Struthio camelus: one gene and its partners. The protein of the gene in region 2 interacts with the protein of the main gene of each other region in a pairwise test. Links are inferred from orthologs where the notes say so. Each region holds a gene or a part of one and is shown on either strand. Other genes may lie near its edges.

Region 1 (7,021 bases), on a different chromosome or scaffold from region 2:
TTTTAAAGTATACCAGAGTTCCGCCTGGCTGGTTGCATGGTGGCTATCTGACTGAGCTCTGCTCCTTGACTTCTTGGCCTTCTGGAAGAAAGCCTGCTGGGGGTGGAAGAGAGAAAAAATGAGGTCAGTAAGAAGTAGGATGAAGAAAATTAATGTTTGCCAGTTAGCAGAGCTCATGGGAACATAGATATCTACGAATGGTAGAGTGCTTTTTACACAAAACAAGGAAAAGAATTTTTGAAAATGATAATGGGAAAAGTAGTTAGGAGGGATTAGTTGCAATTTAAATGCAGGCGGCGTATCTAATAACTTCTGGACCGTGAGATCTGTTTAGGCAGTTAGGAGTGTTTCACAGCCTAATGTAATATTGGGTGTACTTGTGCAGTAAGTAAATCATGTGTGGCAAAGGTTTGTTATGTGACTTGCAAAGATAATTTCCTGTGAGGTAAAGGATCTACCATCTTTCAAATCTTAAATTTCTACCTCATTCAATATTGGATAAAAATTTGAGCATTAACCTTTAGTAAGCCCTAAGAAATACGTAGGTGGCTTTCACTGTTATGTTGGAAAGACTGATCATGTGGCTTCGCACTCACTTGCATTTCTTTCACTTTGTGAAGAAGCTCTCTTGCTGTTGAGCTATGAAACATGCAGGGGTACTTGAAGAGCAGTAATAAAATGGACTGTGTAGATAGGGAAAAAAGGAAAGGAGAGATGCATGTATTGTTTTCTCTTGTGCCACGAAGAGTCCTTGGCTGTATTCATTTTAAAGTTCTGTACTTTGGAGATAACATCTTAAAAGGGACCCTGGAAGCAGCTGCCAGTTGAATTAATGTAACACTAGTTTCTGCTGGACCCAGTGAGGGGAAACAGATGGACAAAGGCCTTAGGGTCTGAATCACTTAGGAAGTACTACTGTCCCCTTGGTTCTCCCGCCCCTGTGGTCCCCACTGTGGGGAATGGAGAATGTCAGCTTCTTGCGATGGCAAGATTAGGGAGAAGTCTCTGCTCTAAGAACCTTGCAGACATTTCCTGTCCCATGGCTCCCTTTGGCTCTCCTTTCCATACAAGGACTAGGTCCAATAACTTAGGCACATACTTAACCTGATAAAATCATATTACTGGAGTTTTGTCTTAAACTGATTAGTTCAAAGAAAAACCCAGAATGAACAGAACCTAGCAATGAAGCAGAACGTAATTTTTGTAAACTTATACACAACTCCTCCGTCGATTTACTTTCAAGGGGAGGTAATGCTACTTGTGACCTAATTTTCTTTAAGTTCTTCTTAGTGCTAAATAAAAACAAAAATGGAAAACAAGGACTCTTCTCCCAAAACCAAGTCATTTAGAAAAGTTTGATTCATGCAGTATTAACTCCCAATTGCCCAAAAGAAGTGGAATCCAGAAATTTTAAGGCTGTTTAAGGGACGCTGTCCTTAAAAGAAAATCTCATCTTTTTTTTTTGCCTGGGTATATTAGTTGAAGATGTACGTGAAGTTCTGGCCTTCAGTATTTCTAAAACTTTATATCCTTTGCTTGCTTGCTGATTGTCTTCAATATAAGATTCAACCTAGAATTCTTGTAAAAAGAAAAAAAGTTGTAAGTTGCTCCTCAGTTGGCTTTACTGCAAGATAGTTAAACCTAAACACTGATCAGTAACAGAATGGAAATTATGTAAATAATACTAAAACAAGATAAAGCTGACTGATACTCTTTCACTGCAAAAACATTGTTTGCAGATACAATTGCAATCTTTTAGTAAGTCCTAAACTCGCATTTAACTATGTTAAAATAGTTATTGACTGTGTGTAAAATCAGTGTTCAACTGATTTTTCTTTTAATGGATAAGAAAAAAATCTAAAGCTGAGATCAAAATGAATTCTACGGGAGTCACGTACAACTGCCAGAAAACATTATTTGTGAAACTCTGTGGGAATTAGTTATCAGATTTCTTTAAACTCTGAAATAAAGATACATAACCAAATGCCTTCCTGTTGGAGTTGGTCTTATTGGTAATGGACATAGTATCACCCCCCTCCCCTTTATTTATTTATTTATTTATTTGGTCTCAGCAGAGACTCATACCGTAATTAGACATCAGTAGGGGTATTCTCTTGATTGCTCCGAATTAGATCAGGCTGGACATATATCAGAACGTTTTCTGAAGCTTAAATTTGACTCACCCAGTGTTGTATTTATTTTATAAGTAAAGAAAGAACTCTAGTTTTTCCAGCGTTGTCCAATACTTCCTGCTTGTCATAACTTTTCTCTTGTCTCGTTTAACCATGTTAACGTTAAGTTTTATGTGTTCCTGAGCTATCGGGAAAATAGGAAGTAGAAAAGCAGGTTCTTTCCTGTAGTGCATCTTTGTAAAGTAAGTAACTCCCTTGTGGGTGTTACAAGGCCTGTGGGCTTTGTAAAGACTATGCCCAAACAGAAGTTTGTTAGAAGATGGGGACATTTGCTGTATTCTTCTTGCACTTTTGTTAGTTTCCTTCTTTGTGTTCTTCTGTACTTTTTAGATTTGTATTTTCCGATATTTTTTAGGGTGTAAGACAAGACCAAAAAAATTAAATGGATTAAGTTAAGCTAAAAAGTCAAATATTAGAAAGTTTTATGTTGAAAATATTATTGTGACAAAATTATTCAAATTTATCTCTTGGCTCTGAGGTTGCAACTTGGAAGAGTTCAGTTGTCTAGAAATATCATTTAAATTGCTCGGGGGATAATTGCAATACTTCTCAGGATGAAAGCTGAAAGCTGAGACACTTTGAATTCACATACTAGTTACACATGCTTTGCATGCCCCAGTAGTATTGTTCTGTATCTTGTAAATAGGAACACCACTTAATTTGTCTTCCAGGTTCTGCCTTGTACAGTTGTATGGATTTTAATGTAGAACTTGGATCGTTAGCGTTATCACAGAGCGTATTTTATATTAGGCCTGGAGCTATAACCATGTGTTTTAGTAAACTATGATTGAAGCAGTTTCTTAATATCTTGCAAACTTAGGCATTAAATTAATATGAGAAACCAACTTAGTATTGTAAAAATTAGATGCAGTAGAAAGCTGTTGTTATTTTATCCGTGTTGCAGACAATAGCGTCTCACAATTTCCTTGTAGTATCTTTTGTTATATAGGGCAAGAATGTAAATGAGTCAACTGTAACTGTGCATTTTTTTCCTTTTCCAGTGGATGTTTCTATTATACAAAATTTTTGAACCCCCAGTGTAGAGTCTAAAAGGTTTTCTGTTAAGACATTCTGAATCTGATTTTCAGTGTTTTAAAATTTTTTGAGATAGCCCAATGTATGCCAGCAAATGATGTTTATGCATTTTAAATATTATAACAGTGGTTTGTGTTTGAAAAGCTTATCATATGGTACAAAGCATAGGAAAACACCCTGTTTTGCTGACATTTTATTTGAATGAAATAACAACTTAGTGTTTCTTAAGTAACTCAGAGTTACAAAAGCTAACTGAAAATGCTCCGTGAATTTCATATGCTTTCACACCTATATAAAGGGAGTATAAAAAGCCTCCCTTTCTAACATTTTACACCCGCTTTGCAGGACAACAGAGAGTCACAAAAAGGACTTCAAAATTCTTCAGTTCAGCTGTGTTCATAATGAGTATGTAACTCCCATTGCTGACAGATGAGTTGCTTGACTTTGCTGGAGGCAGTATGAGGTCAAGAAATCTTACTAAAATGCCTTCTTAACTGTTTATTTCTGCTCTTTATATATGTATATGTGTATATATGTGTGTATGTATATATGTGTGTGTGTATGTATATATCTGTATATATGCACATACACACACATGTATTTGAGATATCTATGTATATTTTGCTATGATTTGACAGAGCATTTGAGGTCAGCTGTCAAACTAGCAGTGGAGATGGAGTAAGGCACCTTTATTCTAAGCTTTTGCTAACACAATGCTCAGCTGTGACTCAGAGATGGTAAGTTAACTGATTATACTTAGCTTTCTCTACTATGGTAAAATGAGTTGCAGAGGGAACAGTCTGAAAGCCAAGGGCCTCTGAATAGTTTTCCCTTTTATGGAATAGAGCTCCTAGATCACCATTTCCTGGAGATTGTATTCTAAGCCTACACAGTGGTAAAAGAAGGTTCTCTGCATTCACTGATCTATATCTGACTACAAATTTGAGCTCAGGAGATCTTTTCTTTTTTTCCTAACTATTTTAAGCAGTAAGATTACAATAACAGACCAAAACACTGAAAAGCACTATGTGTGCTCTCCTGCGTTTTTTTTTTTTTTCCAACTCATTTTGTTAGGTGCAAAAGGCTCTCGCAGACTAAGGTTCTAGATCTTCACCCACATCCATTCCTGCGGTAGTTGAGTTAGAAAACTCTGCAAGTATTTAATTTTAAGTGGTAATTTTGAAGCTCTTGCAATCTTGAAAGGACTGAAATTGTGTTGGGATCACAGTAATGTCATGACAGACTTCTGTAGGATGGAAGTAGGTCAGACAGAGTTTGATCAATGCCTAACACAAATGAAGAGAAAATCTTGTAATTGGTGTAGTAACTAGGCCACTAAGATATTCTCATGCACTTTGGCCGTTTCTAAAGTGCAGATATATTTTCTTATCTACCCTTTCAGTATCTTCAGGGACAGTAATTCCAGTTGTTTCAGTTGGTATCTTGCTGTATTATATCATTTTCTTCTTTGACTGAAACGTGGTTATGCTTGTGGAAAGGAGATAAAGCTGGCAAAGCTAATTGCAGCATGATTTCAAAGGCTGCTCAGCTGGCAGGAGAACCAGGCTATAACCGGGATAATTATGTTCTCTACACTTTGGTGCAGAGTTCAATAAGCTTGTAAGCTGTTTTTGTAGAGAGGTGTGGAACAGGGTTCAAAGCTGTACTACTTCTTCCTAATGCTCTACTGAGGGTGAAAGAAATCATATAGCTCATGAATTAAGCTATTTTCTTATGTATTTTGATAAAATACTGGTAATTAGTAGCCCTTGCTTGCTTTGATGTCCCAGCAGACTGCAGCAGTGTGGTCAAGAGTATGCAAACATTGCACTTTTTTCAGAACGTGAATAATCAACAGCAATCAATCAGCAGCAAGCTTTTGCTGCTCCGGTAGAGCCCTCAACACTGAGTTTTGGGGGAGAAATATTAGGAACAAAAGGAAGGTCAAAAGAAGGCATTTTCCTTCTAATCAGCACCACAAAGTTTAAGAACTATTTCCTGTTTGTAAGATAGCTCTGTGAGGAAGTTGGAGTAAGGTCCTAATTGTGTCAGAGACTGGCTGAACTCAGTCCACTCCAAATCTGGGTGTTGCTAAGGTGGCCTAAGGTCATCCCCCTACCCTCCATTCCCGCTTGGCTGTACTTTCTGTGCTACATCTCTAAGACAACACAGCTCAGGATTTGTCCTTTTCTATTCTTAGATAAGCCTATTTTGTGTGTGCGTGTCTGGGGGTTTTGTTTTGTTTTGTTCTTTTAAAATTTTTGTTTTGCTTTTTCAATCTGAAAAAGGAACTGAACCTTGATATGCTTAATGGCTCGCTCTTGTTTCAATGTGATTTGCATTACTTTAAGTTTAGTGTGTATTAGGGAGCCCACTAACACAGGGAATCGACTAGGACACATTAGCCTGTACCGCTCTATATAGGACTCCACAAATACGCTTTGGACATGGCTTGGAACATTCCTGATTTTTTCAGGCCCAGTGTTCTGTTGAGTTGAGCCTATCAGAATCATTATAACTTCATAAAGCAATCACTAACGGGTTACATAAACATCCAAATTTGTATCTTCTCTTTTGCTTTGTTTTTGTTTGAATTTATTATGTTCTTGCAAAGTCAGAAATTGCTTCAGATGCCAGGATTCGGTTAGAGATGAAAAGCAAATCCATGTCACTTTCTGAGTTACCTTGGCTGTGTCTCATCTTCATGTGATTTTAATAGTTGGTGACTGTTGCTTCATACAAAAATACTTAACTGTTGAAACACGTAGAGGTTTAATGTTACTGTTATCTGCCTAATCTCTGTGGGTTGATTAAAATACATATACTCATAAATGTCTGTTCTGCATCATATTAGGAATTTAAAAAACATTTTGCCCTAATAAACATTTCAAAATCTTGTTTTTATTTATGGAATACTTCCTCTACTTTTACTTGCAGTCAGAAATGGGTACAATCATGATACAAATATGAGCTTCCACTTACTTCAGCAGAGCTAAAATTTCACCTTAATGTGTTCAATATGCGTACAAAAACTTGAAACATGGGATCTACCTACAATGATTAGCACATCCTGCTTCTGAAAAAAGTTATGTTCACTGTGGAAAAAGTGAAATCCTTATCTTGGTCTTCATAATCAGATAATTTCTTTTGTACCTTTTCTATTGTCCTTACTAAAGAACTTCAGTGGAATTATTATTGTTTTTAAACACACTAACACTTGTGTATAGATGTCATTGTGACACTCTGTTAATTCTGCATTAAATTTCATATGAGGAGACCTTATTTCTGACTCTTCTAGCAAAAGAGAAATGTATAAACTGTAACGTGAAATAAATCTAATGAAAGTGTTGGTCTTAGCTGCTTCCGTAGGCCAAAATTTTGCAGATCCTGTAGGTTTTATAAGTTCTGTGAAAGCTTTGGCGAGGAACCTGTCACTACTGAGGCTGCTTCAGTATCCATGTGACTTTTAAAATCAATCCCAGCGTTATGACAATTTTAGTCATCAGCCTGGATAAACAAGCATGTTCCTGAATAAATTTCCCTACCCTTTCCTGAAATGGAAGGCAGAACTTTAGAAGATCATTCTTACAACTCTGTCGAAGGCCTTGAACTTTAAATTACTTCCTGATCCCCACCTTTTTTGCCCCATCTGTCTTGATTTCCAGAAAAAGAAAACAATAGAGAGGAGATTAGTAATTCCGATCTGGGAGAAGATAATGTGTTCTGGATATTGAACATGTACTTCTTGGATGTATTTGTCTCTTTGGGCCACTACTGAAGTTGTTACTATGTTA
Region 2 (7,923 bases):
AGTTATTTCCACTGGGGGTAGGGAAGGGTGGGGAGAACAACTCTTATTTTAGGCAACTTCTTCCTAGTCACTCAAATACAAAGACTCATGTAGAGGCAAATATCTGACTTCTCTCACTGGTCTTTTAACCCCGAAGAAAATGGCAAGATGTGTCCCTCTGTATATTTTAGGTATAAACTCACGCGAGCCCAAAGTCCAGTTTCACATCAGCAAGATAAATTTATAGGGAAAATTATAGCGGCCCAGCCCTGCAACAGCAAATAAAGCCTTGTATGCTCTGAAACTTATTTTGAGTATATACCCACGCTTCCAGAGCCTCTCTGCCTTTTCCTCTATTGCTGCCATAAATGGTTATATACAACATCAAAATAGCCTAAAGACTTTGTGCCACGTTTTTAATATAATCAAGACAAGAGGTTCCTTGCAAGCACACAGGAGCACTATATAAGCCATATTTGGGGCTCGTGCGGAGAAGTACAGGAAAAGGCATGATTTAGGGCAGTCATGATCCCGACAATTTAAGCCGACCTGTGCTTCCTCTCCCAGTTGCCGCACCGCTAAATCCGGCTAATCCAGGTTACGTTTGGACACGCAAATTACAAGTGCTCGTCAGCGCCCTGACTTACAGGTTGCGGTAAGCACCTGAGAGGACAGTTTACGTCCAGAAGACGTGGCGCTAGCCCGGTGGGCGTCCATCCACCTGCAGGCGTGGGCGCTCCTCATCACCATCACGCGGCTCATCTCAGAAGGCAGCGAACGCTCTGGAGAAGAGGGGACTATTGCGCTCCAGCACAGCCTCATGACTTGTCGCAGCGAAACGAGTCACCTTTTTCCCTCAGTGATCACGGCACAAAGCAGTTACGGGAGCTGAAAACAATGTCATGGGTACCGCCGACCACGGGAGGTCAATACTGAACGCCGCTTCAGGCAAGTGGCCTGCCTTATCCCTAAGTAAAACTGAACGGAGGAACTTGAGGAATGAGAGGTTAGATTGAAGCCGGGGGGTGGGGGGGGGAAGTTAATTCAAGGCTTTGACAGGTTTCCTGTACGTTTTCCGGTAGGCAGCAGAGATTCAGGACTCGGTCCGCCTACAGCCGAAGGGTCTCGGTAGGCCAGGGGAGAGCCGGCGGCTCCATCTAGCAGCTCAGGCGCAAGAACTGCCACCTCTGAGCCGTGTCGCTGTCCCCCCCCGCCCCGAAACATCACAGGACATCGCCCACAGCTGCTGAAGGCTCCTTCACACACAGCCCGACCACGCGTCCCTGCCTGCGCAGAGGGCACCGGGGGGGCTGTCCGTCCGTCCGTCCGTCCGTCCGTCCGTCCGTCCGTTCCCCCCCCAGCGAAGCGCTTCCCCCTCCTTCTCGGGTCCCGCTCCTCTACTCCCCGCCGCTCTTTATTAAACTCAACGCAGCGGCGATTCGCCTTAAAAGGGCAAAATATCTGTGGCGAAAGCTCGGGCTGGGGGGGGGGGGAGGGCGAGGCGAGGCCAGGCCAGGCCAGGCCAGGCCAGGCCAGGCCGCCGCCATCTCCCCCTCCCCCCGCCCAGGAGCAGGCGGCCGTTGCTAGGAGACGGCGGGGACCCGCCATGGCGGTTGGGCCAGGCCGCGGCCCGCGCACCTGCCTGAGGCGAGGAGGCGGCGGCGGCGGCGCGCTCCGCCTCGGCCGCACCTGGGCGAAGCCAAAGGCCGCCTGCACCTGCCATTGAGCCGCCATCGCCGGCTCTTGACGAACCAACCCCCCCCCTCCCTTTTGGGCTACTCCTGCCACTATATCATTTAAAAAAAAAAAAAAGGAAAAAAAAAAACCCATATAGTCCCATACACCGACCCGCTCCCCAGAGGGACACACGAGGAGGACAGACCGAAGGACCCTCCTCTGAAGGACCCTTTCCGAGCCGAGCAGGCTCCTTCCCTCCTGTTCCCCAGCAGGGGGTGGGGGGACACACAAAAACCGGCCAGCCCTAAACAGCAGGCGGGTTTGGGCTTGACGAGGCCCCTCTCTTCCAGCCTGCGACTACGTCGAGCGAGGGATTTCAACTGGGGGGGGGGGGGGACAACCGCCCGGCCGCGACTTTCCGCCCCCTCGCTCGCCTTTGACGGGACGGGGGAGGCTCCCCGGCGGCCGCCGCCTTCCTCCCTTCCCTTCCCGAAGTCCAGAAGCTCCGGTCCCAACCAACCTCCTCCCCCCCCCCCACCTCCCCGACCAAAAACTCTCCGAGGTGCCCGCCTGCCTCGACGCAAACTTGTCGCCGAGGGAAGGAAGGGGATTTGGGGTGCGGGGGGGGGGGGCGGTTGTCCCCTCCACCTCAGCACCCACTCGCGAGCTTGGCCCGACCCCCCCCCCACATCCCACCAGCCAAACACACCCCCAACTCACACCTCGCAACTTTCCCACCCTCGGGAACGCAGCAACAACTTGCCCCCCCCCCCCCCAAAAAAAAACTCTCTTGGTTGGGGCGGGGTGGGGGGGGGGAAGGCAGCAGCAATGCGGCTGCCCAGGAAGGGGAAGGGGTTGGTTTTGGGGAGGGGGGGGTCTGCCCTCCGGCATGCCGCACGCCGCGGGGGGGGGGGGGCAGCGCCCGCCCGAGCGGCTCTGCCGGCGCTCCGCTCCCCAGAGGCAGAGGGGCTCTCGCTCCCGCAGGGCTGCGACCCGCCGCTTACTGTGGGCTCTTGGGGTAGAAGGGCAGGGTGACGTGGCTGAGGTCCTGGATGTCGAAGGCGGTGGGCTCGGCTGAAATCGCCTGCCTCTTGGTCCTCTGCTCCCCCTGCAAGGTGCCGGCGCTTTGCTGCTGCGCCTGCTGCGTGGCGGGCCGGATCACGGAGCGGTACTTGTCCAGCTCGTTCTGCAGCTTCTGGATCAGTTCGTCCTTCTGGTCCAACTCCAGCTCCAGCTCGTCGATGAGCGCATCCCGCTGCCGCAGCTCCTCGATCTTCTCCTGCAGCGCGTACTGTAAATCCCGCAAAGTGCCCATGCTCCTGGCCGCTGCCGCCGCTGCCCGGCTCGCCCCTCGCCTCTCCCGGCAACTTTCCCCCCCCCCCCCCGCCGGCTGCCTCCCCGCACTTGGGCCAACTTCCCCGCCGCCGCCGCCGCCGCCGGGGCGCTGCCTCCGGCCCCGGGCCCGCTCCGCCCCGGGGCAGCCGGACCCCCGCCGCACCGCGCTCCGCAGCCCGGCTCCTCAGGGGTGATTTCGATCTGCCTGCGTCAGGCTAGACTGGAGAGGGAGCGAGACGCACACACACACACACACACATTACACACACACCACACACACACGGAGGAGGAGGAGGAGGGAGGGAAGGCACGGAGGAAGGGGCGTCTGCAAGGATGCACATGCACTTTCGCCGCGCCGCCGCTCCCTCCTTTCCCCCTCCCTCCCCAAAAGGCGGCCGCCGGCTCCCAACGCCCCGCACGGCCCGGCTCCCCCCCCACCACCCCCGAGGGGGGCGAGCGGGGCGCGAACCCGCGGCCCTCCGCTCCCCGCCCGCGGCTGCGCGCCCCCCGGCCGGGGGCTCCCCGCGGCACTGCTAGGGGCTCCGGCCGGGCTTCTCCCTCTGAAACCCCCGGGGAGCGGGGGGGGGGGGGGAGGCTCACGGGCAGCCCCGTGGGCGCCCACAAGCTCCCCTCGGCTGCGAGCAGGAGCCGGCTGCAGAGGTCCCGGGGCCAGGGGCCTGGGCCAAGGGCAGCGTTTGCAAACCCTCCGCTCCCACGCTGCGCCGGCTGGAGGGCGGCGAACCCGTCCCCACACTGGGAGAAGGCTGCAAAAATCGCCCCTCGCGCTCCCAAGCATCCCGCGCCCCGCTGTCGGGGCTGTGCCCTGCTCTTCTCCCGTCCCACCGTCTCCTTGAACCAAAAGTGCTACTTGTTCCTACAGAACCTGCCCACCTTATCGCGTGCTTAGGATTTCTTTACAGCCCGTTTTCACTGTCTTCTGTAACAGAAAGCACGAGCCAGCACCGGGCAACGGCATGGCTCCTGCTCAGCCTGAGCTTTGGGCTCCAATCCCTCAGGTCTTAAGGTAAATATCGGTCAAGTATGTCTTCGCTGGAAAAAATCTGGAGGCAGTGCTTATGGGTCCCATAGCACTAAAAAAGCACATTAAAATATGGGTGCACTTTCTGTGTAGCCCCAATACCTATATGGAGGTGTAAAGTAGATTCTGCTGCACCAGACACGTCAGGATTTTCCAGGAATGCGAGCACGGTGCATCGCGCTCCAGGACTTTCCACGTGCTAAGCCACGGTGGCACTTTGGGTCTACCTATGCAATACTGTTTATGGGTTTGCGGCACAAAAATAACAAAACAAAACAAATGAGCCGGATCAGCCGAGCCTTCGGTGCCAAATGGCTCTGTTTTCTTTTTCTTGCCTGCCTTTTGCTAGCACAGAAAAAGGACGATGATGTATGCTGTGACAGATACAGCTCCCGGACTTGGCCCCCTTGGACGCAGAGAGGGATCTGTGGGCAAAAAGTATGGCTGGGTTTGGTCTCCCGAGAAGACTGTATGGTTTGGAGGAGATGGGGTAGAAATCCCCCCCCCCCCCCGCCCAGCCAGATGTAGGTGCCCCCAAGAGCTTTTGCAGTGCTCAGCCGCCAGAGCAGCATGCTTGGATGTTTCCAAGGCGCCAGAAGCAGCTGTTCCCGTTCCCTTTCTGGGAGTTGGATTTGGGGAGGATGTAGTGATGGATACATTTTTTTTTGGAGGTGGGTGGTAGCTGCACATTTGTATCTGCCATTGGCAGGGCTGTCCAGACCTCCAACTTGGGCATTAGTTGGAAATGAGAGACAGCGTTTATGGGTTTTGCTTTTGTTTTTCTCCTGTTACACACTGGCGCTCGGCTGAGTCCAGAGTTCCAGCTTTCAACCTGCAGATGGTCTTTATAAAATTAAAAAAAAAAAAAAAACAACGAACAGATGAGGAATTACAACTACTCCCCTATTCAAAGCGGTTGTCTGCAAGGGCCTGGATTCTTCTAATAAATCTTGCATGAGACTTTGCAGGTTCTGCAATGTGTTTGGTACCTCCTGCATTTTTCAAGGGGCACGTGAAAAAACAGATTTGGCTTATGTAAAATGCTTCAGTTTTAAGTCTTCTTGATGCATTTGGTAGGCACAAACTCAAAGTTCAGTGGTCTTTTCCATGGGCTGACAACGCGCTTTAAGTTCAGACTTTTTTTTTTTTTTGGGTGGGGGGTGCTATATATTTCCTCCATTTACATCTTACATAACTCACTAGGAGCAAAAGTACTAAATATCCTCTGAACATTTCCATTTTAAGGCAGCAAAGCCGTATTACTTAGTTTCTATTAGAGGTGCGCAGCCTGGGACTGAGACAACAGTAACATCAGAAAGGACTCGGAGAAAAACATCACAAATGCTGCTTGACAGAGGCGTAGGCTGTCAGGGCTGACGTGTTTGATGAGGCATCGTATGCTTAGGATGCTCTCTTACAAGTATTTCTCCACAGTGGTTATAGAAACTCGCATATCTGCTCTTTAGTGTATCCCTGAGATTGCTGCCGCTGGCTTTACGGGAAATAAAACTGGCCGGGAACTCGGCTAATGATAGCTAAAGAAAATATTTATTTACAGGTGGAAAGCCCATTCTCCTGGTCTCATAAGACCTCCGAGAGCCAAAGAGAGATTTTACGTGACAGTCGGAGATTTGTGGTGAGCAGCCGTAAATCCAAGGCCAGCCTTCAAGATGAGACCAAGGAAGCCGAAAGGTCTACAACCTGTCAGCAGAGCCCTGTCCTGTGAAGGCTGCAGACGGCTGCCTGGTTTTGGTTGTTTACTGCTCTTCCGAAGAAACCAGCAGACGAGTGGGGTTGGGGGACCGCAGCTGCCCGTGCGGCTCACGCTTCAGGGCTTTCGGGGTATCGGCCGCCTTGCAGTCTCAGCAGCACGGAGATCCCGCTGCCCCAGTCCGATCAAAATAAATCCTCTGATCCCGTTCTTTTCAACTTAAAGTTCCCAGCAAAACACTCGGGTTTTCAGAGCAGCTGCTTTGTCTTCTCAATCGAGCGTACGGAAAGAAAAAAGCTTTACATGGACGCGTGGCAGGAACGCAACGAAGGGCCTTGGTCCGGGGACGACAACACGAAGCCGGCTTGTAGTTTGTTACGGGAGCCAGCAGCCAAACTTCCTCCAGGTCCCAAAGCCTCTTTCTGATCGGACCACTGCAATACTGTGTCTCACCCGGCCCCGATGTCAGTAAGCAGCAGACTGGAAAAACCAAACCAAACCAAACAAAAAAAAATCCTACAGAGGGCTTGAGCTCTACCCCAAAACACCGCCGGGGCTTGCTTGCTACTGGCAATCACGGGCTTCCCCACGAAACATCAGTGTTTCTTCTTCTCCTCTGCCCGCACAGGTTCTGATACACTCACAATATTTCCTCCGCGCACAGCTTCTGGGTTTTAATAGCTTGGCTTCTAAACCTTTCAAGGATCATCTGTCACCAAACGCACCCACTCAGCTGCCATCTTCGACGCTCAAAACATGTTTGAAGGCTCCCTATTCCGAAAACATCGCGCGGAGCTCGCCAATCAAAACTCAGGTATGAAGCTGGATCGCTGACAGGCAAACGTCACGTTGCCAGAGCCAGCCAGGACAGCAAGGAAGGAGAAGCTAGGGGTGCATGACGGAGTACATACATAAACATTTCCCTCCTCCTGGACGTGCCTTTTTTTTTTTTTTTTCCCTGCCTAATTCATTGCAATCCATTCCTTACGCCTTCCCCAAAATGTCTACAGGAGCAGACCGGCCTGCAGCAGAAAGCAAAAGTTGAACTGTTTGGCTTTTGCAGCGGATTTCCCTGCTTGTCTTAGCTTTGTGCGGATTCGGGAAGAATTGGCAGGTATAGCACCCACGTGACTTTAGCCGCTGCTGGGAACAGAGACACTTGCAAAGCAGAGTACGTTGCCTATATGCTTACTCAGAGTAACACCTTTACGATGTGAGGCCGACTAAAAATACAGAAAGACATACTGAAAGGTAGCACGCACATAAGCTGAACTCTTGCAAAAAGCATGCCATAACCCACTTGATTTGCAGTTCGTCTGTGAAAGCCACCGCGTCTCAACTGTGGGATGCTACCTCCACCACCGGCCCAAAACTCATGCCGACACAGAGGAAGGAGTGCCACCTACTGAAACACCAACACATCCGACTTTTCCTTGGCGGCTCCCAGCTGAGACAAACTTATCTTATGTCCTCAAAGGGCAGCTGGGGAATAATTCAGCTCCCAAGGATACCGATGAAGCTAGAACTACAGCATCGCAGAGCCGCCTCACCGAGACCAAGGAGCAGGAATCAGCAGTATCTGGGGAGTGCTTCAGTCCCATTTCTCTCTGACAACGAAGCCCTATTAGCTCGTGACATTGGACATTCCTCATTTTGGGCCTTTCTCGAGCCTCTCCCTGCACACAGCATTGATGAATGTAGAATCAATTAAAAATGAGAATCAAGACCCATTTATTCTTCCCCCTCGGAGGGCTGGAGATACACTTGTGTGGTGTGTGCTGTCTCTTAAACCCCACTGATTCCCAAGTGAAGTCGAATCAACGTCTCAGCTGGATTATCTCGAGGTTTTTCTTTAGCATGTAGATTCCTTTTTTTTTTCCTCCATTATCACTAAGAAACACTGAGAAGTAGCTCTTGTGAAGAACAGGCAACTGTTCCAGCCTGCCCTAGGAAATCCTCCCAGTATAAGGATCATTCTGAGTAGACAGTGTATGAGAAAAATACCCCAAGATCTATTAACTGACAAAAAATGCTCACTGCAGAGACAAGAAAAAAAATAATAGTGTGCTGCACTGTAATTGGTAATATGCTTAGCTTTTTATATCACATTAGAGGCATACATAATAACACCGAAATGAATGCTTGTGTCACGCAAGGCAAAATGATGAGACGTTACAACGGT
Region 3 (6,991 bases), on a different chromosome or scaffold from region 2:
AGCAAAACGTGAAGAAACATATGCCATCTAGAACATTTAATGTATTAGATTTATTAGTTGCTATAAATGGTTTCAGCACTACAGATTCCATAAGAGCTCACACATCCTCGTATACCATCATCAAGGTGACAATGGCTTGCAGCGCCTGGATTTACTCTACAGTCACTATACAATACTGTTCTTTGAGTGACAGAAAGAGACCACTTGATGTGAAACTGTTACTGAATTACTTTGACAGTTGTCTCTCCTAATACATAGGACATTCATAGGATGATGGCTGAACTTAAAAACCTTTTTTTTTTTTTTTAATATTTGAGTAATTGGAGAACAAGGACAGTTCAATTTGGCAATAGCTATTATAGGACTTAGATAAAGTAAAAGGCAGATCTTCACTAAGAAGAAAAGGCAAGCACTGTGAACAGTTGGCTTGGTGAGAAAACTGAAATATAAACATTGTGAAAGGGACATACGTGTCATGTTTATCAGACTAAATGAACTAGATGAACTAAAAATAGCTGCTAAATAGAACAAAAAATAAAACTGAAATGCAGAGGTCTGTTTTTTTCCCCCCCAAAATAAAATTCAGGGAAAGGAACTGCACTTATTAATTACCATATGCCACGATTAAAATTCCTCCAACAGCCTCTACTGTTAAACTCTGCCTTCCAGTGTCAAGCCTGCAACAAAGATGCTTCATAAAATCATCAGCTTTAACACCTCATCAGCGCCAGACATGAGCAGCTGTCCTGCTGATCACTAAGGTCTAAAGGCTAATGTTATCATCTGGGTCAAATCCTTCCAAGTGCCCCTCCCAACAAAATGCAGGTTTTTCTATTCTGGATAAGCTCAACAAATTAAGAGTGACTTGACCCATCAGGGATTTCTTGAGCTTTCAACTAGCCATGAATTCACCAATTATGCTGTCTTAATCTTATCCACATTCCCCAAAGATGAACTAAAAAACTGTTGTCCCAAGGACTAGGAAGGTGGCCTGCATTTTTTCCTTTATGCTGATGCCACATAAAATATTTTAAAACTTTCACCATACTGCAATACTGCAACAATTTATAGTGAAAGGAAAAGAGTCCACAACTTCTCTGATGACAGAGGAGTTCAAAACCAAAAATTTTGATTTAAATGAATAGTTGGATGTACGAAAAAAGATTGCAATATTCCATTTTCATCCAAAACTTTTAAAAAAAGATTATAATATTGCTACTTTAATTTGGGTACAGTGCCACCACTTCACAATCAAGAATTAGCTTTACAGTTCCTTTATGCTCTCAGTCTCATACTTAAGCACAGTGCCCTGACACAAACAGTAAGCACTTTTATTTACTTGCATCAGTTTGAGATTAGGGTGCTCCCTTTTCTCTGAATCTCAGCATGTGCTTTTACAGCAGCAAGGCAGACAGGGTCAAAGAAAAAACAGGAACGCTGTCCAACCCCGTTTGTGTGTTACACCCTCACACCCATGAGGCGGTCAGACTCAAGACCAAGGGAGAAAGACCAGGCGAGGAGCCAGGAGGAACACGGCTGAGAAAGCTAGGATGGAGGAAAATGAAGACCTAGGAGAGAACAGAGCAAAGCGAACAGGCAACCTCATTTTGTCCCTCTGGATCCAAAGAATGAGCAAGGGCTCACCACCGTTCCTGACAAGACAACACGGCAACAGCATGTAAAATGGGCCGGAAAGAGCCTCCCTCTCTCCACCACAGAGACAGGTTGGAGTTGGGATCTGCAGCAGTCAGAACTGGGGATCCCATGACTCATCCTTGCAGCCCCATGATATTAGGGCAAGTCATCTAACTTTCAAACACACTGTACCTCTGGCAGCTGGGGCACAGAGCCAGATAAAACTCTCCTTGACTCTTGTATGACACAGGTTGAACTGTCACTCTCCATGCCTCTTATACACTTACAGGTTGGACAACTACCAAAAGAGCTTATGGCACTTCACAGGTCAGTATGGTGAGAATCACGAGAGCAGCAACCCAGTTCCGGGGTGCTACCAACCTAACCTGCCTCTGTGGCGCTCCGATGGTCCCTCCAAGGACTCAGCCTGTCTGCCTGATGCTGGCAAGGTTTCTGCCACAAGGGCTGATGGGAGATGGTGACAGGCTAGGACAGGCACCTTCCCAGCCATCCTTAACACGGATTATCAGGGGACACAGAGGGATGGGGCAGAACCAAACCCTGAGCACCACACTCTGGCACCTGCTGATGGCCCATGAAGCACAGCACCAGGCCCCACCGGTGAAGTCGCAGGAGTTGGTTTGGGGCTCACACTTGAAACACAGCACCGTGACACCTTCGCATCTTGGTCCCCACGTGTAAGACGAGGACGATGGGGAGCTCTTCCCTAACTCGACCACAGGAGAGGGCGGACCACCGGGGCCTTTAAAACACGGCAATCCTCCGAGGTAGGAGTGCTCCCTGCTCCCCAGGGGACCGCAGCGGCCGGGAGGGCTCCGCCGCAGCCACCTCGGCGCCCCCCAACCCCACGCTGGCCCGCGGCCTCTCACCTACCCACAGCAAGCGCGGGTGGGTTAAAACATGACAGTTAGCCAGAAAACTACACGCGAGGGGTGCTGCCCGGCAGGCAGGGAGGGAAAAATCCCACTGCTGGCTGCCGCATGCCGGGACACAAAGCCTGCGAGGAAACACCCGCTCCCCGGGGCCGCCGCGGGGCGCGCTCGGCGGAGGGCGCCGACAACAAGTGCAGCGGGCGGGCGGCCGGGCGGGCGGGAGCAGCTGCGGCCGCGGGGCAGGAGCCGCTCCGCCACCGCGGGGAGGTGGAAGGGGGGGGGGTGCGGCCGCCGGTCACCCCGCGACTCACTCACCCGCCCGTCTCGGCTCCCGAGTCCACGCACTCATCCTCGCCGCCGGGCTTCTTGTCCATGGTGGAGGCGTCAGAGCTCCATGGCCGCCGGAGCTGCTCGTCCCGCTGCGCCGTGTGCGGGCGGCGGCGGAGAGAACCGCTCCGCCGCGCGCACGCCCCGCTGAGGGGAGGGGCGGGGCGGGGCGGGGCGGGGCGGGGCAGGGCGGCGGCGCGCGCGCCCCCTCCCCCAGCCGTTAACGGCCGCGCGCGCGCCCCCCCTCTTCAGCCGTTAACGGCCGCGCGGAGCACTGAGGCGGGGGGGGAGGGGGAGGGAGCGCCTGCATCATGGGGCTCGGTGCTCCCCCCACCCCAAAATACCCCAATCTCGCCGGCAAAATACCTCGGGGCACCCTTGTTGCGCTCGCACGTGCTGAGGGATCGTCCTATTCCAGCCCTCACGTGTTAGAAACTCCTCATGCATCATCATGCCTGCGTTAGCAAGCACTGCCGCAGCCTCCTTATATCGCTGCTATTCTTCCAGTAGAGAGAAGGGCTAAGAGGTGTGGTGCCTGTATCTGTTGGAAGTTAAAGGCACCTGTCTCTTTGCTATCCATCTTCTTTTCATTTTTGGGGTAGGTGCTATCCCTGTCTTCTCTTTGAAGTCTTAGGCTGTGCTGAGCTTTCTCTTGCCCCCTGAGTGTCACCTGGCACGCACTCGTTATATTAAATATCATTATTTTGAAATGATGTGCAAAAACGGACAGGGAATGGTTTCCTAGCCCTGTGAGAATTTCTGTAATAATGAAGGAAAAACCACTTTGCTCTGAGGCTTCCAGGGGAGAAATACTGATGTAGCAAGACTTACCACTAGTGGGGCAGTTGCATTCAAAGAGGTTGAACTATAAGCAGGAAATGGGCTCCTGTATTCTGCACATCTCCTGCCCACCAGCCTTGTTTTGTATTTGAACACTTCTCCTTTTCTCAGTCACTCACATTTGGTGTAAATATTCACCAACACAGGGATGTGAACCTAGATCGCACTCAGCCAAAACGTCAGTCATTTGTTAGTCTGTTTGGTTGTTCAGGCCCGAACAGATCATAAGGGAAGGGGGCAGAACTGATTTGTCTCCAACCTGAAACAAATCATGCGTCTCCTGAATCAGGGTCAAGCATAAAGCTAAAAGTCAGTACTCCTGTGCTCCCTGCAATTGAGATGTTATGGGACGACTTAAAAAAAAAAAAAAAGAAGATGATGACTCCACCTTGGAAACTAGGAAACCTTTTCCATTAATGTTGTATGGAAAATTTCACCTTTGAGGAACTGGAATTTTCTCTCAAAAAATCACCAATGACTGCCTAATTTCTGTCAGCTGCAGGAGACAGCCACTTCCAGATCACAAGCAAAAAAAAATTAAAAAATAAGTATTTTGTTCCACCTTTTTTTATTTGTACCTCACAGGGAAGAAGGAAAATGATGAAAATCTCAGTATTTGAAACATAAAATACCAGACTGGACCAGACTGTAGAAATGCACTGTACAAGACAATCTTACATTGTCAAAAGAATTGCTGAGCTAGTTTAGTTGTCTACATAGTCTGACATCGATGTCCTTCATTTGAATACTGTCAGTAGTAGAGTGAGCCATGTGTAGGCATGCGCTAACACAATTTAATAGTAACAACTAACATCGTTTAGCAGGCTCAAGCTGTGTGTACTTCGTGCCACTGATGTCTCTAGTGGTGTATGGCATTGGCTCTCTAAAATAATCTATATGTAGCTAGGAACATTGTAAAATCAAACAGAAAGAGTGACTTGGAAACAACACCAAAGGTCTTTTTAGCACACTGTAGGAGCAATGAACATGCATCAACGCCGGAAATGCTCATAACGAAACTGCTAAGTCGATAAAGCAGTGAATTCCTGTTGTCCCACCACGGAAGGGACACTGAACTCATGTGCAGCCCTGGGACCTGTGGGTATCACAGATCAGTCCACTATGTATCCCCAGTGATATTTAGAAGAAACTTTCTAGTTCCTGTATCTATTCATCAAGTACTGGAAAAAAATCCTAGTGGTGTATGGGGACCTTAGTGTTTAAAATGTTTTGACTATCTGCCTTGATTTGCACACATGTCATTTTAAAAACAATATAGATGATTTTTCAGTTTATGTGGAGGGCTTAACATAAATAATATCCCAATAAAAATAATGCGCTAGGTATGGAAGAAGCCCCCTTAACTGGAGTCCCTCTTCCCTCTTTCCTCTAGCAAGTTACTAAATGCTAGTTTGGGCAAAATGCTATAAAAGGTTCTTGATACACATCAGTTCTATACTGGCATATGTATAATAGTTCCAAAAATACAAAAACAAACTCTTCCATCCTTCCTGACTGGTAGACTATACCATCTAAAGCAATTTCCTTATATGTGCAAAATTAAATGTGTGTAATTTTTTTTAGGGTTGGGACCAAGGCGCTGTGCCAGGCTGTGAGAATAACTGTGGCAGAATCTGGTCCTCAACTTCTTAGTATTGGAATCACCACATTCAGGTAAAAGGCCTTAACATGTTTTCAGACATTGTGTATTAAGTGATTTGCCCAAGGCAACACCATGGCAAAATTGAGACAAGAATTCAGTATATCTCGCTTCCCAGTTCGGGCTCCTGTTCTGAAACAGCTAAAGATTTCCTCTCTAACGACTGTAATGACTATGGAGGACACTGAACGTCCCAAAGGACATATTCAGTATTCTGTAGTACCAGCACTGCACAGACCCTGCTGTCTCTCTGATTCTTAGTCTACACACACAAATTTATTTAATCAGTACAACTCTATTTAAAAGCAGGTCATTCCCACTCACTTTTAAGTGTAATCTCAAAGTCAAATAAATTGAGTTTAGCCACTGTTGATGTGATTTAAGATGTAACCAAACCTTCTTAAATATTTAGAAATAGATTTAGTTAAAATGATACATTTCTGCATGTAAAATTTTAGGTGGTCAGCTAATACATCTTTTCTGTCTCTGACTTTTATTATCCTAGTTAGTTATGTTTAAGCACTGGCATATGAGAGGATCTGGAATAGATTTTATGCTGCATTTAGGATTAATTTACTCCATCTGTCCAAGGGAGGGAAAAAAGAAACATTCTAAAGAAAATATATAATTAAGACAGTAAGTAAAGCTACCACAAACTCTAGACTCTCTTATTTATATATTTGCCTCATTTAACTCAGTTTTATTCTGGTCTTTCACGTAATTATGGTGAAAAGAAGTCTTCTCTGCAATAAATTCTCGGCATTTCAGAGATTCTAATGAATGAGGTGTTATGTCCTTGCTTTTACTTAGCATTTCTCTGTTATCATTTCTTCACATTAGCTCTTCTGTATGGTCTGTTGAAAAAAGAAGTTACGTTTTATTTACTCTCTTGTATTTATGAGTCTGTGATACCAGTTTCAAGGTAAGGATAATAGTGAAAATATTCTTGGGTTAAATTTCCCCAAATTTCAAGCCTTTCATTAAGCAGCATTTAATAGCAGTGGTCACAAAGGCTGTCAGACATAAAAGTATCAGGAGAAATCTTCAAAGAAGCCAAAAAAATAAACCACTCTCTTATCAAAAAGTAATGGAACTAACACTGAGGACATGAAATTAATGCCTGTTCTGCAGAGAGTTCTCTTGCTGTTAGTTGTGTAGGACCAGATCTAAAATATAACTTAACTTAAAGGAGGATGTAAAGAAAATTTAAATGCCTGAGTTCGAATCTGTGATTCCACACTGTGGCTGATTAGGAGATGCCTAACCTTCAAAGGCAACTTACATTTTTAATTTAAAATTTTCAATATCCCTAATGCTATATGTCTAGAATTTACAAGGCTAACCAGTTTACCTCATACCAGAGCTGAGCAGTACCTAATTGCAACCACCAGCTGCTGAGACCTCCATCCTTGCAGAAGCAAATGCAGGCAGTAAAACCTCCTCCCACCTCCCTCACATAATGATCTTAGTCTTTAGTAACTGAGAACACAGTGCGGAAAAGTGATAGCTGCAGCCTTGAAGGGGGATAAAGACATCACGAAGAGCTGCGTGGATGAACCCATGTCAGATCATACGTGTGCTGAAGGATAAGAGGAAGCAAAAGCATCGATTTCCCTGATGAAGCCACACCTGGATT

The links.
Region 1: the proteins of PRKG1 (region 2) and IRAG1 interact in a two-hybrid assay, tested with the Homo sapiens proteins (2 studies listed by BioGRID). The link is inferred for Struthio camelus from reciprocal best matches to the Homo sapiens genes PRKG1 and IRAG1.
Region 3: the proteins of PRKG1 (region 2) and FAM124A interact in binary tests that used the Homo sapiens proteins (3 or more experiments, as listed by UniProt). The two-hybrid records come from large-scale screens. The link is inferred for Struthio camelus from reciprocal best matches to the Homo sapiens genes PRKG1 and FAM124A.

Annotation. Positions count from the first base shown.
Region 1 is NC_090946.1:24,140,731-24,147,751, reverse strand, and holds the start of IRAG1 (inositol 1,4,5-triphosphate receptor associated 1), read left to right. Parts: upstream 1-3,925; 5' UTR 3,926-3,940; coding exon 3,941-3,964; intron 3,965-7,021.
Region 2 is NC_090948.1:42,921,913-42,929,835, forward strand, and holds the start of PRKG1 (cGMP-dependent protein kinase 1), read right to left. Parts: upstream 3,036-7,923; 5' UTR 2,972-3,035; coding exon 2,661-2,971; intron 2,394-2,660; exon of another isoform or gene 2,379-2,393; intron 1-2,378. UniProt on the Homo sapiens protein: Serine/threonine protein kinase that acts as a key mediator of the nitric oxide (NO)/cGMP signaling pathway. GMP binding activates PRKG1, which phosphorylates serines and threonines on many cellular proteins.
Region 3 is NC_090942.1:193,537,257-193,544,247, reverse strand, and holds the start of FAM124A (protein FAM124A), read right to left. Parts: upstream 3,011-6,991; 5' UTR 2,903-3,010; coding exon 2,844-2,902; intron 625-2,843; exon of another isoform or gene 613-624; intron 1-612.